2 linked regions of the Caenorhabditis elegans genome follow. The protein of the gene in region 2 interacts with the protein of the main gene of each other region in a pairwise test. Each region holds a gene or a part of one and is shown on either strand. Other genes may lie near its edges.

What was found.
Region 1: the proteins of daf-19 (region 2) and ceh-8 interact in a two-hybrid assay, tested with the Caenorhabditis elegans proteins (one large-scale study listed by BioGRID).

Annotation. Positions count from the first base shown.
Region 1 is NC_003279.8:8,243,381-8,253,831, reverse strand, and holds ceh-8 (Homeobox protein ceh-8), read left to right. Parts: upstream 1-2,883; 5' UTR 2,884-2,935; coding exon 2,936-2,987; intron 2,988-3,781; exon of another isoform or gene 3,782-3,815; coding exon of another isoform or gene 3,816-3,861; intron 3,862-4,221; coding exon 4,222-4,484; intron 4,485-6,777; coding exon 6,778-6,875; intron 6,876-6,923; coding exon 6,924-7,052; intron 7,053-7,107; coding exon 7,108-7,216; intron 7,217-7,797; coding exon 7,798-7,977; 3' UTR 7,978-8,327; downstream 8,328-10,451. Other genes in the region: fitm-2 (Acyl-coenzyme A diphosphatase FITM2), read left to right, coding at 1-10, 87-194; col-63 (Nematode cuticle collagen N-terminal domain-containing protein), read left to right, coding at 8,884-8,950, 9,000-10,078; nsph-2 (Nematode Specific Peptide family), read right to left, coding at 10,326-10,451.
Region 2 is NC_003280.10:10,165,497-10,172,834, forward strand, and holds the start of daf-19 (RFX-like transcription factor daf-19), read right to left. Parts: upstream 3,850-7,338; 5' UTR 3,826-3,849; coding exon 3,758-3,825; intron 2,767-3,757; coding exon 2,578-2,766; intron 812-2,577; coding exon 645-811; intron 1-644. Other genes in the region: gpd-4 (Glyceraldehyde-3-phosphate dehydrogenase 4), read left to right, coding at 5,784-6,306, 6,359-6,791, 6,840-6,909. UniProt on the Caenorhabditis elegans protein: Probable transcription factor. May regulate some genes of ciliated sensory neurons. May activate the expression of the shared components of sensory cilia, but not the cell-type-specific expression.

The sequences.
Region 1 (10,451 bases), on a different chromosome or scaffold from region 2:
CATTGAAGAGGTAATCATATTTTGCATCTCAGAATAACAATTTGTATTCTTCAAAAATTTAATTACTCAATTTCCCTATTTTTCAGATTCTCGGAGCTGTGGCCGCTGTCGTTTGCTGGTTTGTGACCTACCGCATGCTCTATCCAGCCGGATTCTTGGCCTCCCCAATTCGCCGGACTGTGGGCAGAAAATAAATATTATCAATGTGAATATTTTCAAAATTCTAGTCCTCCTTTTGTGTGTTAATTAAAATCCTGAAATTTAAACTTTTTGTAAAATCGTCTTACATCCCCTCTATTGCCTCGTTTACTGGTTTCTCCTTTAATTAAGTAACTGTTAATGTTCTGTTTTTGTTTTATTTATATAAATTCATTATCATATATTTAAGTCTTATTCATAAAATTTACACGCGATCATTGGGTAGCAAGGCTTTTATCAGTAAATACGCGTTGTCGACCTTAAAACTGTTGAATCAATGAGAAACAAAAATTCAAGAAAATTACAAATTCACACGATATTTCAATAATTTACAGTAATCCATTTTCACTTCAATTGAATTTCTTGTTGTGTTCATACTTTCACTTTGATTCTCCCATTCAATTTCATAATTGGCTCCCCGAAGCAATATTTTTCATATCTCTGTGAAATAAATGATCTCGACACGACCGAATTATTTTAAATGAAAAAGAGTGTGCGCCTTTAAAGTGTACAGTACTTTTCTTCGACTTTTTTTTAAAATTTAAACACTTGCTATTTAATGTGAATAACAGAAGTTAGACGTTTTGAAATAGAAAACGAGAAAAATCTAAAAATTGGGAAATAGCGAAGTGGGAAAACTACTGTACACCTTAAAGGCGCACAATCGTTTTAATTTAAAATTGTTCGATCGTGTCGAGACCGGGTACCGTATTTTCGTTCCGTAAACGCAACAAAGATAACGGTCCCACTAAATAACTAACCCAATCGAAATGTTTTTGTGTAGCTTGACCACATTATCGTCGAGATCATGTGTGAAAATTATGAAAGTAATGCATCTATAGTGATATTTGGTGGGGTTTTAATTATCCAGGGAGTATACGGAAGGTAGGTTTCGGAGTTTATGATAAACAAATGTAAAAGTCACGAGTTCAGAGATACGAGGTTTTTGCAACAACCCGATGGAGATCGAGGCCAGCAATCTAATATTTTAAAACAAGAAGTACTTAAAAAGATGATAAAATAAGGCAAAAAATTAATTTCTGGAATTCGTGGACAGTGTTAGATACTGTAATAACTCTTCTTCCAATCAAGCACAGAATATCCCTTCAAGAACGCATCGCAGTCTATGTGTAAGTTAAAAATTAAAAAAATATACGATACAATATTAAAAAGAACAAAGATGAATACTTTAAAAAACCGAAGTAAAGCATGGTCACCAGACCTAGGTCCTTAGGCTTAGTTGCTTAGCTGCTAATTCGATACGATAGGTTACATGAAAATTGATCTATATGATGGATTATATATACAGGGTGCGATTAACGTTTTGAATTTTCAAAATATCCCCATCCGCATCGCTGCAGGACCTCAGAACTTTTGAGATCTCAATTTTTTGGCACGCAAGTAGGCACTCTGCGGGATTTCTACACTTTTTCTCGAGGAATCCACAAGTGTCTTACAAGTTTTTATAGTTCAAAGAATGCTCTTGGTCTAGAGATTCCTAAAAAACAAAAATCCAAAAAAGTTCTGTCATGGTATGACTGTGGCAGTACTTTGAATGACAAAGACGCCTTGAATGATACAGTCGCCAGAAAGGTGGATGTGGGCGGCGGCAGCAGTATCCAAGAAAATTAATTTTAGTACTTTTCGACACGTTTTGATCTGACTTTCAAGAATTTTTATAGAAGATTGAGCTCGGATGATTTTGTGAGTCGTTACACCTTGTGAAGACAAAAAAAAACTGAGTAAATTTCGCAAAGTTGATTTCATGAAATATTCAAAGGTTCTTGCTAGGCGCCAGTGTCGACACATAAAATTTTTATATGCTACGAAAACAATCAAAAACGCTTCTTAACTTTTTAAACTTTGGATTTAACATGAAAATCATACATCTGAAAATTATTGGCGTCCGTCGGAGGTGCGTTTGTGTTGGAGGTGCCGCGTGCCAAAACACCGTTTCGGCGACAGGGATCGTCAAATTGCCGAGGCGATAAAGATTGCACCTTATTGGGAAACATTACAAATTTTAGGTCAAATTGAAGGAAATTTATTCAGCTATCAGTATTCTATAGAAAATTGTACGTGTGAAGTGGCAGTCGCGCGAAAAAACCCATTTAAAAGAGCGCTTCACGTGTTACCATACTTTTGGCGCACCCTATATATATATATATATATATACATTTGGCCTACGGGACATTTTTCAACTGAGCAAAAGGTGTTGTACGGTTACATAAATGCCTCTAAGAGACGCTGTGTTTTATTACAATTGGGAAAAAATATCACGTAGGTTGTAAGCTGTTTAGTATAAAATGTTGCAAGCATAGCAACTTATTTAATGTAGAAAAACTTTTATGGTTTGCAATTTGACCAATTTTTGATAAATCCCTACTTCAAAAGACACTTAACCAGCTAGAAACGTTTTTCCCGATATGCTGAACATGTGCCAAAACGCATACTGTATTTATTTAAGCATTGAATTCCCTTGAACATAAAGCATGCGACCTGATTGAGGAAGGAGCACGAAATATAAATTTTATGATGACAATTTATGGTTTCCTCCCGATATTCCAGCTTGTTCCCTTTGCTGCTTCCCATCACACAGTTCTTCTTTAGATTTCTTTTATTGGATGGCTCCTCCCCTCGCTCCAAAATATTCCCCCCTAGAAAACTGGAGTCAATCTCCTCCCCAATATATTCTGCCACCCTGCTGCCCTCAATTTTTCCTGTCCTGTCATCCGGGATGAGCAATCCAACTGACAACAACTCTGCCACGTCATCGATAACACCAAATTGTGAGTTTTTGATGTTTGAAGTCTCTACAAATTTGGTAATTCAATTCACCTATTTTGTCAAATTATATCCAAATTATTTCCAAATTCGATTTGCGAGCTTTTTTGGGGCTCCACCTCCACCCCCTCTAATTGAATGGAATTTTAGTTGTTTTTTTTTCGTTTGAAAATTGGAGATTATTCATATGCTTGATTTGTCGGATATGTTCAAGAACGTTTGATTTAATTTCAAAATTTAAAAAAAAATCAAAATCTCTGTTTTTTAGATTAATGAGAAATGTTAATGAGAAATCTAGATTCGAATTTAACTGTGAAAGAGTATTAAAACTTTGTCCGTCGGGGTTCCCAACAAGCATTTTTCTTGAAATTTTAATACATCATGCAGTAGAACCTTAACGCCACATTGCAAAACACGAGCTTAAAGGTTACGTTTTCACTTTTTTTTCACTTTTCAGGGATGCATGTTTGAACTGATACTTTTAAAGTATTATCAGCATCTCAAGCTAGATCAATCAAATCTAATTTTCTTTCTCGCTCTCAAATTTCTTAAACTAAAATACTATAAAATACTCCAAGTTTTTCAATCAAAATAGTAAACTTTAACTGATATGAAGTCTTGTCAACACAACCTACCAACGCTAACAAAAGTTCTCTAATAAAATGAGTAATCCCCAAATGACCTCGAGAAGCTGCTGGAAGAAAAGTCATGTGAAAAGCATACGTTTCTTTTCCAAGGCTATCAGGTGAGATATGCGCCAAAATACGCATTCTCATTTTACATTTCTAAACAACAAATCTGAATTAAAAACATATTAGGTATTTATTTCTTTAATGAACATTCCAAAGGGATTTTATTATCCTGGATTTTGGACTGATGGTAACGATTCTTATTACTTATCAGAATAAATATCACCCAGATTCTAAATTTTGCCAGAAGAATGCGGTACACGGTCTCGATACGACCGATTTAAGCCCAAAATTTCCGGCAATCGTACCGGATTTTCTGGCAGTTTTCAGTACTGTAGTTCCCAACTCCTCGTCGTTGCGGATTAAAAAACTGACATTGAAAATGCGATTATCCGTTTCTAGAGAAAATTCTTCCGTAAAAAAGCACATAAACCCTTTTATTCGAAATTAAACCATTCATACAATAAGCCATCGTAAATTTCAGAAATCAAATGTTTCTCGAAAGCAATTATTCAACTTTTTCCTAAACTCATCTCATTTTTTTTTTCAGTTTCGGCGTTTTCCTCATTTACAACATACAAACCATCCGACTCATTTTCTTCATTTGAATCTGATTCTTCTCCATCAAAATCATCATCATCACGAAAGAATCGAGATAAGATAGCAGACAAGAAGCAACGTAGAAATCGTACAACATTCACGACATTTCAACTTCATGCTCTTGAAGCTGCATTTGATAAAACTCATTATCCAGATGTTTATGCAAGAGAAACATTGGCTGCTAAAGTTCAATTGCCAGAGGTTCGAGTTCAGGTGAGAACATATTTTTTATCTGAGAGTAGAGCAGCGAAAAATATTGAAATTTTATTATTTACTGTTAAATTAAAAACAGAATTTAATCAGTTTTCACATATCAATTTTTTAAGTTTACCAGAATAACCAACACAATTTTTTTGCAATGTACCAAAACTAGACTGACTATTTTGGCAAATCTAAAATTTCCATTTTGAGAATATTTTGGCATTCCGTCTTCAATATGAAATTTTAAAAAATTATATTGTAACATATGAATCAGTTCTGGTAAATCGCAAAAAAACGGAGGTTTCCTTGAATCTGAAAATTTACGGGTCACCAAGAACTTATTATTTTTACAATAGTGCCTCTTTGTTTTAGAACATCTTTTGCTTTAACTTTTTGCTGAAATAAAACTTATTTTTTTTTTTTAAATAGTATATATTATTCACAAGAGTAAAACTGAAAATTCACGGTCGACTAGCCAGTGTTGTTCAATATGAAAATGACTGCAGTGGAAGCTCTTGTTGTTTTTTTGGAGATTCGACTTTATTCGAAAAGCGAGAATTTGAATTGCTATCTAATAAATGGGGGGGGGGGGGGGGTTATAGAGATTAACAATTTATATTGTCAAATTTGATATTTTTTGTAATTCTCAAAATTAACAGAAAATTTGAAATACTCTGCGATTTGGTAATTAAAACATTTTCAAATTTGGATACGGTAATGTTCAATTTCGAATTTTTTTTAGTTTACGAAAAAATTTATCCAGCGTAGTAAAAGATTAACATATACATGGCACAAAAGTGAATTCACATATTTTCATTCTTTAATATAATTATGAATATAACTCCACTCGAGAGCTCATGACAATTAAAATTCGAACTATTTGCTCTTGTCCATGACCCTACTTGTCCTTTTTCCATGCAGCTGTGAAAACTGATCTCATCCGGAACAATTAGTAGTGTTAAATTGGCAGGTTAGCACTCCTGTCACACTTCCTTATGCTCTTCTGATTTTTGAGTCAAAAGGGGGACAAACAATAAACAGTAGAAGAAGAAGAAGAAGATAAGCATCTGACTAATCGACATTGTCTTCTCAAATTTCTTTTTCTTTTCCGTCACTTACATCCTACCAATTTAAGGATTACCTCGCCGAGTCTCGACACATTGTTGTCATACAAGGAAAAATATGGATGCTGGGGAGTGAAGAAGTACATTACGATGGACTTTGAAAAAATGAAAATGAAGTTCTATTTGTAAATTGGGGGGGGGGGGGGGGTGGTTATAGATTAACAATTTATATTATGAAATTTGACAATGCTCCGAAAAAATATTTTTAGACAATTCATTTAACGTATATTCTCTATAAGATATAATGATCTATAAAACACATGAAAATCATTAGATTTTTCAATATTTTCAGTCAAACAATCGGAGCTTTTTGAGTAACTTTGAGAAATAAAAAATCGGATTTCTGTTGGTTTTTCCTTTATTTCTAATTCGGTATACTTGGTGTAATTTTCCGGCGGACTGAGTTTCCCGTAAAAAGAGCGAGCGTTCATCAAGACAGTTTACACATTCTTGATGGGATTACTGTAGGTGGTGGATAAAGAAAGATGTTAGGAGGAACAAGAGAAGAAAGTAAAAACATGGCACTTTAATGGACAAGATGGGGCAAAGGGAGCATAGAGATTGACAACTTACTAATTGGTATACGGTAGATGAGGGAAATAGTGGCGGAGAAGTCGAATGGGAAAATAATAAATTGGGGAGGAACTTTATTTTAAATCAGATATTCAAAATCTACATTTGAAATTTAAGTTTTGAAAATTGAAGCCTTTGGTTTTCTAATGGATGGTGCAACTAATGGATGGTGTAACAAACTTATCATAAATGTTGCGTAAGTATGTAAGTCGCCTAGAAAATATTTTTATAAAGAATTGGCAATGGTCGGGAAGTTTACGTTAGAATTTTTGAAGCTTGAAAAAACGAAACTCTCAAACCTCCCACCTGGACGTGATTTTTTTCCACTGTAATTTCTTCCAGAGTGCAGATGGTAAAATTTTGTCAACAAAAAAAATTGTAGAAAAAATTATGGGAAACATTTGTTTAGTTAAAATCTTTTTGCGAGCTACTGTAGTTTTCGAGTTATACTTATTTGAAAAACAACAAAAAATCATCGCAAAATCAGAAACGAATATTATATTTTAAAAAATTGGGTCAATTGTTATAAACGTTAGGTAACTTTTATGTTCTGACTTTTCTGTAAATGTCCTATTCAATTCTAAATGTTTTACTTTCTTCTGTTTCAGGTATGGTTCCAAAACCGCCGAGCTAAATTTCGCCGTCAAGAGAAGCAGGATTGTCAAGGAGAGGAGAAGCATTCACTGAAAGATACAATGCCATCTTGGTTCGCTTCTTATGATAAATGCCCGTCTAATAGAGTTATCACATTTAGGTCATGGATGAGTGAGAATAAGACAGATACACCGCCAATGCTTCCTCCAGCAAATACACTTTCATCAACTCATAACAATGGAATTTCCGATGAATTCTTCAAGACTTCCGAGGGAAAAGAAGTTTATGGGTTTGTTTAAAAAAGTTTAATTTCTAGATTAAAATCAATATAAATTGGTTTTCAGGTTTCCATTCGCTGAATATGGGACTCCGGCGGACAACACGCACGTCAGCAAAACTGGAAACGTTTTTCATTTGAATTTCGAAGACAGTGATAAGAAATCAATGAAAAAAGTATGTTTCTAGTAAATAAAAAGCTTACGACTCGCCTAGAAAGTGAAGGAAATTCAGTGAAGAAAAAATATTTTTTTAAAAATTCAAGAAAACGGCTGTACGCCTTTAAGAGTACTGTAATTTAAAGCTTTCGTTGTTGCGGAATATTCGTGGATTTTTCATTCGAAAAATCATTCTTACGACTTGTTATTACGGGAACAATAAATCATGAGAATGCGTACTCGGTGCATTTTATTTGACGCTAAGAGATATCGCGCGTCAAATAAAATGCACCAAGTACGCATTCTCATGATTTATTGTTCCCGTAATAGTTTTTAATTAAAAAATTATTAATGAAAAAGGATGAAAATTTAATTAAAATGCTACAGAAACGATAGTTTGATATTACAGTACTCCTTAAAGGCACACACATGTATATATTTAACAAAAAAGCGACGCGCCGACACCAAGTACCGTATTTTTGGCTTAAAAATATCGAATTTTCGCGTCTGAATAAGCTTAATGTTTATTTTTCTGTAAAATTACTGAATGTGTATAAAATTGACCATGAATTTTTCAAATTGAACGCGTAAAAATTCCAGGAATCGCCTCAAACACCATCGACAAGTAGTCCATTCATTTCGGAATATCATCCACCATTTATCCCTTATTATATTCCAAATCAATCATTTTCCAATGCATTTAATCAATATCCAATGCCATTCCCCTATCCAATTCACTTTGAGCCACCACAACTTACTCATAGTCAGGAAAATTGTTGATTTTATATGGAAAACTATTACGAATGTTAGATTTTACTCATGTTTTTTTTTAATCTACTGATTTTATGATTTTTTCTTCAAATATCCCCCATTTCTTCAATCTTCCTTCGGCACAATAAACAGAAGTTTCCAAGGGGGCGGCGCACACCTAACACATTTTAGAGTGGCGCGCGAAACCCGTGATATGTCGGAGGCCGCAGCAACTATCGTCTAGCAGCCGGCTGTCTCATTTATTGCAGACCGGTGATGAAACTGTTCTAGGAAGTGCCGTCTTAGAAACAATGATTATGAATTGGACGCTGAGGTCACTGCAACTAAATTAATTAAAGATTGAGTATGAATTCAGAGAAGTTAATTTAACAAAGATTAGAGCTATGTTTTATTGTTTTGCTGAAAAGTTACAGATAAATCGAAGAGCAAGAAGTTTCTGAAGTATTTTCTCATGATTCAGCCAGATTATCTGTATCAGTTTGTTCTTACAATTGGAGCATCGCCACCAATGAGTTTTCAGAAATAATTTTCTAAAACATGATGAGCTTGTCATGTTATGCAAGGGAAGAAGATTGTAGCATTACAGTTCGTCGAAACGTACATTTACCTTCATGAAAGTTATGAAAACTCTGAATGGTTAAAATACAAATATAACAAATAATATTCAAACCACAAGAAGAAAAATCATTAATTTCTTGAAATTCTAAGCCACATACACCCATCGGTTATTGCTATGTGAAATAACACTCGATAAAGGGAAGGTGTATCGCCGAAAAATTGAGAAAAAAGTAGACGGATAGGGGATCCTTTCCAAGCGAAAAACTGGCTATTATGCAACACGCAGATCTACTTTTTTTGAGCTTTTTGGATACGTATATAATGGCAACGATTTTTACGAATAGACATCATCCAACGATGACAACATCTGGACAATTGGTTGCTGGTACTGCCGTTGCACTCTGCGGAGTTGCTATTGTTCCAGGTAAATTCATTTTTAAGTCATTCTGCTCACGAAATGTCTCAATTTTCAGCTATTTTTGCCGCACTGTTTGTCCTTCACGACATTAATTCCTTCCAATCAGGAGTATATGAGGATCTTGCTGAATTCAAAACTCTTGCTGAAGATGCTTGGACTACAATGGTTCCACGTGAAGATGCTGTTCAACCATTCGAGACCTTCCTTAAAAGATTCAGAAGAGGATATGGAGATGCTGGAGTTGCTGGATCTGCATCCGGTTCTTCTGGTTGCAATTGTGGACCACAACCAAAGGATTGTCCAGCTGGACCACCAGGACCACCAGGAAATCCTGGAACCCCAGGAGATGATGGACCAGCTGGAAGAGCTGGAAATCCAGGAAGTGACTCAACTGAAGGGGATCGTATGGCTGACTTCAATAAGGATGTGAAGTGCCCAGCTGGACCACCAGGACCACCAGGACCAAATGGATTCCCAGGACATCCAGGACCAGATGGAGATTTTGGAGTTGATGGAACAAATGGAAAAGATGGAGAACCAGGACCAGATGGACCAGAAGGAGATGAAGGAACTCCAGGACTTCCAGGACCACCAGGAGAGGACGGACCAGTTGGACAGAACGGAACTCGTGGACAAGGACAACCAGGACCAGTTGGTGCACCAGGAGCTCCAGGAGGACCAGGAAGAGATGGAGAACCAGGAGAGAATGGACAAGATGGACAACAAGGACCAGAAGGGCCAGCTGGAGCTGATGGACAACCAGGACATCCAGGACCAGACGGACCATCAGGGGATGTTGGAGAGGTTGGAGCTCCAGGAGCTGATGCTGCCTATTGTCCATGTCCACCAAGATCCGCTGAGATGGCTGCAACTGGATCATCCGACTCCCAACCAGCGTCTTATGAAGCTCCAGCTCCAGCAGCAACAAAGGGATATGATTCTCCAGCTCCAGCAGCACCAAAGGGATATGATGCTCCAGCTCCAACTGCTCCACATCCACCACCACCAGCTCCAGTTGCTCCACCAAAGCTTCACGATTATGAATCGCCAGCTCCAGTTGCTGATGCTCATGATGCTGCTCCAGCTGCCCAGCCATATAAGAGAAGAAAGGTGGCCAGAGCTCATATGGTTTAATTTATGGAATTTTTATAAATGTCAAGAATTTATTTTTACATTAATAAATTATTTATTGCAGTTTTCCAAGCATATTAGCACAATTTCTGAAATCTGGATTGGTTGTAGATATTTCTAGTCAAATGCTGCAGAATGTGGCTACTCTAAGAAAGTATCGTCTTTTCTAGCAAAACATTGCAGTAAATTCATATTCAATTTTATTCAAAACGGAAATATCAGAGATTCCAGCTGTAATTCTTCTCTATCCCTAAGCCAAACGTCTCTTGAACAAGACTTTAAGCTTGGCCACAGCCGCACCAGTCATAATCTTCTCTTTTCCACCATAACCAGCAGATGCCTTCTCAATAGTCAAATCCAAATTTCCGAGAACTTC
Region 2 (7,338 bases):
TATCCGCTTTCTTTAGTGTTATCAAAAATTGGTCATTTATTAAAAAATAGAGAAATATTTTTCAAGTGTTTTGTTAATTGAAAGTTTTTTGATAAGCCCAAAGAGAGCCGGAATAGAAAAGCAATAATTTTTCAAAATTTTGTATTAGAAGTTTCCTAGATCAAATAAGAATCCTACCTTGGTCAAGCCCAATTTCCATTGGCAGAACACTTAAAAATTCTCCAGTAAAGTCACTTTCTCTACTATTCTCGTTTTCCACTTCGACTTCTTCTTCGTAATCTTTTTCACCGAGTAGATAAACTGACATATTCAGATAGTTCGTAGTACAAATGGGGTAGACAAAACCTCACACAAATGGTTCTTCGTATTCTGCGATTTAACAGAGAAAAGAAGTGAGCGTGAGAGCAGCAAAAGGAGCCATATGTGGGTATGTGCATGAAGCTGTGCTATTATCATATCTCTAGGTTCTCTTACTTCCTCTAGACTCGCCACCACACCTTTGATTATCTATCCGTCCGTTATCTCATATTTATTTTCTTTTAAATTTTACGGGTATACTGCGTCGAAAACTAATTAGTCAAGAATCTGCGCGAGCTGGCCTCATCATTTCTGGCAATGCCAACAGGTGGTTGATTGAAACTCACCATCTCCCACGGTACCATCATTTAGGTTAGAACATTGAAATGAGACTGGCAATGATTTCTTGAGCATCTTGATATTTGGCTTCACATCTTCAGGCTCCATTTTCTTACGAGGTGTTCCAGACGAAGAAGACCTTGTGCTTATTGTATTGTGAGTTTCTTTTGATAATCTGAAAATTTGAACTACTTGTGCATTAAATTTGACTCTAGGATTTGAATTTTAGCATGTCGAAAAGACATGGGATATGAAAAATTAACAAATAAACTAAATAGTAGTAGTATGAGATGACAAAAGTGGGGGGAAGCGGATGCGAGGTTTTCATTATTCCCCGTATCCATGGAAACGCAGAAAGGGACTCCGAATCGGGCTTCTGTTATCACTCCACCCACTCCAAGCCGACAAGCACACCACTCCACCCGCCACTAGTTCTCCTCTTAATTGGCACGAGTTCACGAGATATTTTGGAATTTAGAAAGAACTCGTGCTTCTTCTAATTTACCTTTAATGTGAGTTTTTCTCAATTTTCAATTTCACTATTACTAATTCGGAATACCGAATTCCCTCTATTAAAGTTGCACCCCCTGCAAGCCAATCGAAAACTTGCAGCATCTAATCATCTTGAACTGACTTTTCTTGAGCTGACACCCCCGAATTTTTATTTAATTTTGGAGCATTTACAGCCTAATATTTAGCAAATTACCAAATTTACGGAAACAATTTTTTGTCGATTTCCAAAATTATGATTGGCAAAAACTGAGTTTTTTAATCTCAAGTTTTGACTGCAAATTAAAAAAATTGGAATTTTTCCCTTTAACCTTCAAGTTCTGTTTTTATTCATCTGCATTTGTTTTTTTTTTCCGACACATTATTTTGTGGATTTTTCTAATTAAAGATCACATTTCTAATCTTATCCAAAATCATTTTCCATCAAGCGATGTGATCAGATTTTTCTTTTAAAAAATAGGAAACTTCAATTATATTTTGTGGTAATTCTGGTACTTCAAACATTCGGAAATAAAATCATAGTCCTAAATAAGTTTTCTGTTCTTTCAGAGAATTGTTTTTAAAAAATTTCATTGATTTTTTAAATTATAAAAAAATTAAGAATTCTGGGAATATTTTAAAATCGTTCTCGTATCTTTAAAATATCATTGAAGCTTTTCTGAACAAAAATAAAACTTCATTTTCTCAACCAATTTCATTTACTTAAATTAAATAATTGTCTGAAAACTTTCAGACAGACTTTATATGTTTCAATATGCTTGTATGCAGCTATAGTAAATTTTTTAAACTCAAATCGATCTGTTTCAGTTTTTGATTAAAACTTCAGTTAAAATCATTTTTCCATACAACTCCTTTTGAACTGTGCACTTTTTCAAAGTTTGGAATATTTCAATTTCAAGTTTTCAAAATTCTATCTGTTACTGTAGCTGATAATCATGTTATACTTTAGTTTTTTTTTTTTTAATATTACTAATGTTTTGAAAATCCTACATTTTCATGTAAAATTTAATTTCCTTTTCTTACTCTTTTATCGTTTCATTATTTTTCGTTGTCGTTTTATTCCAGCTAATTTGTTTTTATTTTCAGAAAACTTCCCGCTTTTGGTCACGTTCACACACCGGGTGCTTCACCATCTTTTTCATAATTTCTTGTTCATATCTTTGTGCTCTTCTTTCTACTTTCTCTCACTTTGCTCTTCGTTTTGGGTCTGAGAGTATAGCATAGACAAACCGACCACTACTCTACGCTAATTTATGCCCTCGCCAATTCTCCAGAGAGAAAAGATGCAAAGCCAGGAGCAGATGAAGAGAGAGAGGAACCAAAGTAGAGAGGAAGTGTGAAGATGAGAACGTTAGTTCCTCAACTTTAAACACATTTTACAAAACGCTCCATTGATAGTCAATTTGTTGGTTGTTGAAAGAAAAAACTTACGATTTTGAATCTTTGGATGCAGATCGAAGTTTTCTTTCTCCAGATGGATGTGTTTCTAGAGGCTCTTCTTTAATCGTTTTTTCAGACTTTTCAGATTTCTCCGGTGATTTTTGATTTTCGACATCTTTAAATTTCTTCCTCCAAAGTGCATCAATATCAAGTCCTTTTCGCTTCCTTGAAGGAGTCTCTCTGAAAAAATTGGTTATTGTTTTAAAGTGACCACAACTTTCAAAGCTTCAAAAATATTTCACAAGATTATATACTTTGCCAGCCTTCAAGAAAACCTAGGCCTGCTTGGAGCCTATTGTGCGCATTTTTAAAAGACCTTTCGATAAATTGATTGATTTGAAAATTAACTTAAGAAGTTCGGATTAAAATCTACATTATCAAAAACATGAAAATACCGGAGTTCACGCAAAATTGCAGTACATTTCGATAGGCAGGCACATACACCTAGAGCCTTCTTGCCTAAGCATAAACTGAATTATGTCCTAAAGAAATACATTTGTAGAAAAAAAGCCAAATATCCTAATTAAACACTACAAAAATTTCGATTTTTTTTTTGAATTTTGAAAAATCTGAAAACCTTCCGAAGTTAGTAAATTGCCAAATGTTCCGAAATTGTGAAATTGATGCCGGTTCAAATTTCTAGAACGTTCTAATTAAAATATAAAACTCGTAGAAATTTTGATTTTTTTGGTCGATTTTCAAAATTATGACAAAGTTTTCACCACTTTTTTGACTGTAAATAAAAAAAACCAAAAGTTTTGCTATAATTTTTGAACATTTAAGCACTATAGTAGTTGTTCTACGAAACGCATTTTTCAAAACTGTAAGTTTCGGTGATTTTTTTTTTGAAATATTATACATTTATTTTGATAAATAAAGTATTTTTCCTACTTCCTTCCTCATTTACTTAATTTTCTTCTTTTTTTTCTTAAACAGTTTTTTTCTTGTCATGTCACACTTTTTTTTGCTGTATCTTTTTTTTCTCCAATTCAATGTTCCTATGGCCACCCAACGACGACACCGTGTGAAGGTCATTCATCTCTTTCTCGAAAATGGAAATAATGGGAAAAAAGTGATGGGATGGGAGAATTTGATATGATAAGATATGGGGTTTTTCTCGCACAGGTGGTCGTACAGACTTTCAGCCGATTTTTGCAGATAGACTACTCACATCTTCACGTTTTTCTCGGCTGCACTGAGCACACTGCTCGTCGATGGCACCGGCTCCTCATTGGTCATGACTTTCTTCTCTGCCGCACCACCCCTGAAACTAGACATTTACAGAGAGAGACCCAGACGATGTTGCATTTAGTCTCTTGGATAATTTGGAAGTAGTTTCCATGGAAACCAAAATTGTAAAAGAAGCCGAGATGAAGCCGGAAAAGCAGCTAGAGAAAAGCAAAGGTGGCCTAGAGAGAGAGTTAGGGAGGGGGGAACGAAACTAAGTTGCTGCGTCGATAAAATATGTGCGGCAGCGGGGAGTGTCTCCTCGTTGCCTGGGGGAGTGTACGTGAGTGAGTGAGAGAGTGTCTGTCTGTGTGAGTGTGTGTGGTGCGAGTGTGTGTGTCTCAGTTGTGTGTGTGTTGTTGTGGGTGAAGAGATGGGACGAAAAGGAGATATGTGTGTGTGCCTAGGGCCCCTCTCAACAATGGAACATCACTTCTTCCCTGCTTCTCCTTCTTAAAAGTATTTCTTTAAGGGCCCCCGAGGTTGGGAAGAAGGTGGCTCGGCGCTTGCATAGGAACGGAAGCTGAAAACTAGGACATATTCCTCACAGACTGGCGAATCTGAAAAATAAATACCGTAACATGTATCAGTATCACAATAGTTTTTTTTTCAAATTTCAAGTATTTCAAGTAACATGAAACATTCAACATGTTTGAGAGTTAATAATATAATATACCTAGGTTACTTATTTTATTAAATTTCCTTCTTCAAACATACCTGTTAAAAACAATCAGACATCCCAAAAAAACTCTGAAATGTTCTGTCAAAGTCATGTTTAAAAGTTTGAAACTACAAAGATGTTGCAAGAATACGGTCTTGCAACGATCGGAAGTTTGTTACTGAAAGCTGTGAACCGCGACAATTAAGAACTATTGTAGTTACTTATTAAAAATGTACACTCTTTTTTGGAGAAACCGTTTAAAAATTCAAGGTCGTGTCGAGACCTGATACTGTATTTTTGCTTTATAAATTGTAATATTCTTAATCTGGATGATTAATACAGTTTACATATTACCGGAACACAAAATTCTAAAAATTCGTACTGTGCAACATATTTGACGCTTTAAATATCTCGTAGCGAGAACTACAGCTGTATACAGTAATTCTTTAAATGACTACTGTAGCGCTTGTGTCGATTTACGGGCTCGATTTATGAAATTAATTTAATTTCGAACAGCGACATTCTTTTTTCATTCGTTTCTCATTTTTTGCTTAATTTTAGTATTCTATAGATAAATAAATTATTTTAATCCATTCGAGCCCGTAAATAATATGCATTCTCAGAATTTTGTGTTCCCGTAATAAACTATGAGTTACAATTTTCGATTTCAAGACATACCGTACCCAAGTTTATCAGAGAGCGGCACAAAATCGGTTTTCCTGTTGAAAATAGCTAAAAATCAACAATTATTGTCTTATATCCATAGATATAAAACAATGCATATTATATTTATTTTTTTCTTCAGAAAAGAAACGAAAATATTTTATTTTCACATTTTTATATTCAGTTTTTGCATAGTTTTTCTTTTTTATTTCTAGATTACACTTAAAAGCTGATAAATTTAGTGTTATTCTCGATTTTTCGGAATAAAAATTCATTTTCAATAATTTTTGATCTTCTCTTTATTTTTGAAGAAAAATTATTGATTTTTTTCCACCAGAATTTTCAATTTTAAAGGGATGACCAAATTTAAAAACCACGGGTCTCGCAACGAATATGAAAAATATTTTTGCGCTTTGCAGACGCGCACGAGCGGCAAGTTTTCAATTTTCTGCAGTTGTTCACCAATCTAGATTTCTTTTTCATCATTTATTCTCTTTTTCTTCCCGATGCGGTTGATTTTGCTTTGCTCTCTTTGCTTCAATCTGAATTTTCGCCATTTTTATTCAGATTTGTTCCTTCTTAAGCTATTACTTCTTGTGAATCTTCCGTCAAAATTTCATTCAAGTTTTCTTACAGACTCAAAAAAATGTCGAAAGCCAACGTCGGAATCAACGGTTTCGGAAGAATCGGACGTCTCGTGCTCCGCGCGGCTGTCGAAAAGGACACGGTTCAAGTGGTCGCCGTCAACGATCCGTTTATCACAATCGACTACATGGTCTACCTTTTCAAGTATGACTCGACCCACGGTCAATTCAAAGGAACTGTTACCTACGATGGAGACTTTCTGATTGTCCAGAAAGATGGCAAATCATCGCACAAGATCAAGGTCTTCAACAGCAAGGATCCAGCTGCCATCGCATGGGGATCAGTCAAAGCCGATTTCGTTGTCGAGTCTACTGGAGTTTTCACGACAAAGGAAAAGGCCTCTGCCCATCTTCAAGGAGGAGCCAAGAAGGTCATCATCTCTGCTCCATCTGCTGATGCTCCAATGTACGTGGTTGGAGTAAACCATGAGAAGTACGACGCTTCGAATGATCACGTTATTTCTAACGCATCGTGCACCACCAACTGTCTGGCACCACTGGCGAAGGTTATCAATGATAACTTCGGTATGATCATCATCAAATCAATTTGTTTTTTTCTAATTTATTTTATTTTCAGGTATCATCGAAGGACTCATGACGACAGTGCACGCTGTAACCGCAACCCAGAAGACAGTCGATGGACCATCCGGAAAGCTGTGGAGAGATGGACGCGGTGCTGGACAAAACATCATTCCAGCTTCCACTGGAGCCGCCAAGGCTGTGGGAAAAGTCATTCCGGAGCTGAACGGAAAGCTCACTGGAATGGCTTTCCGTGTCCCTACACCAGATGTTTCCGTCGTTGATCTGACCGTTCGCCTCGAGAAACCAGCTTCGATGGATGACATCAAGAAGGTAGTCAAGGCCGCTGCCGATGGACCAATGAAGGGAATCCTCGCCTACACCGAAGATCAAGTTGTGTCGACTGACTTCGTGTCCGACCCTCACTCGTCCATTTTCGATACTGGAGCATGCATTTCGCTCAACCCGAACTTCGTCAAGCTCGTCTCTTGGTAACCACTGAATTTTTAAAAAATGTATTTTAAATTTATTTTTTACAGGTACGACAATGAATATGGATACTCGAACCGTGTTGTCGACCTCATCGGATACATCGCCACCCGTGGATAATTCTATCAGGATCTTTTATGTATAATCCATGTATTTCATAGCTATTTTTTTTATTACAGTCATCATTGAATAAACCTATTTTTCTGGTGAAATCTAGTACTTTTGTCGTGATTTTAGAAAAAGATTGAAATGACTTCTAAAGTGAATGTCTATTGGAATTCGAGACCTAACCTTTAAATTTAAAGTTGCTTCGCATTTTGATGGTGCGAACGTGGACTATTGATAGTGTTTTGTGGTGCGTTGCGGGCTAAACCGCGACGCCTCTGACGATCTTGCACCCAAATAAATTAAACGTATTTTTCTGATTAAAATTAACATTTCGTCTAGAAAAGCTAATTTTGCACTCATTTGAAAATAATAGCATCTTTCTTTTTTTTAATGAATCCATTTCACATCCATTATCTGATACAAATTTTATTCTAGATGTTT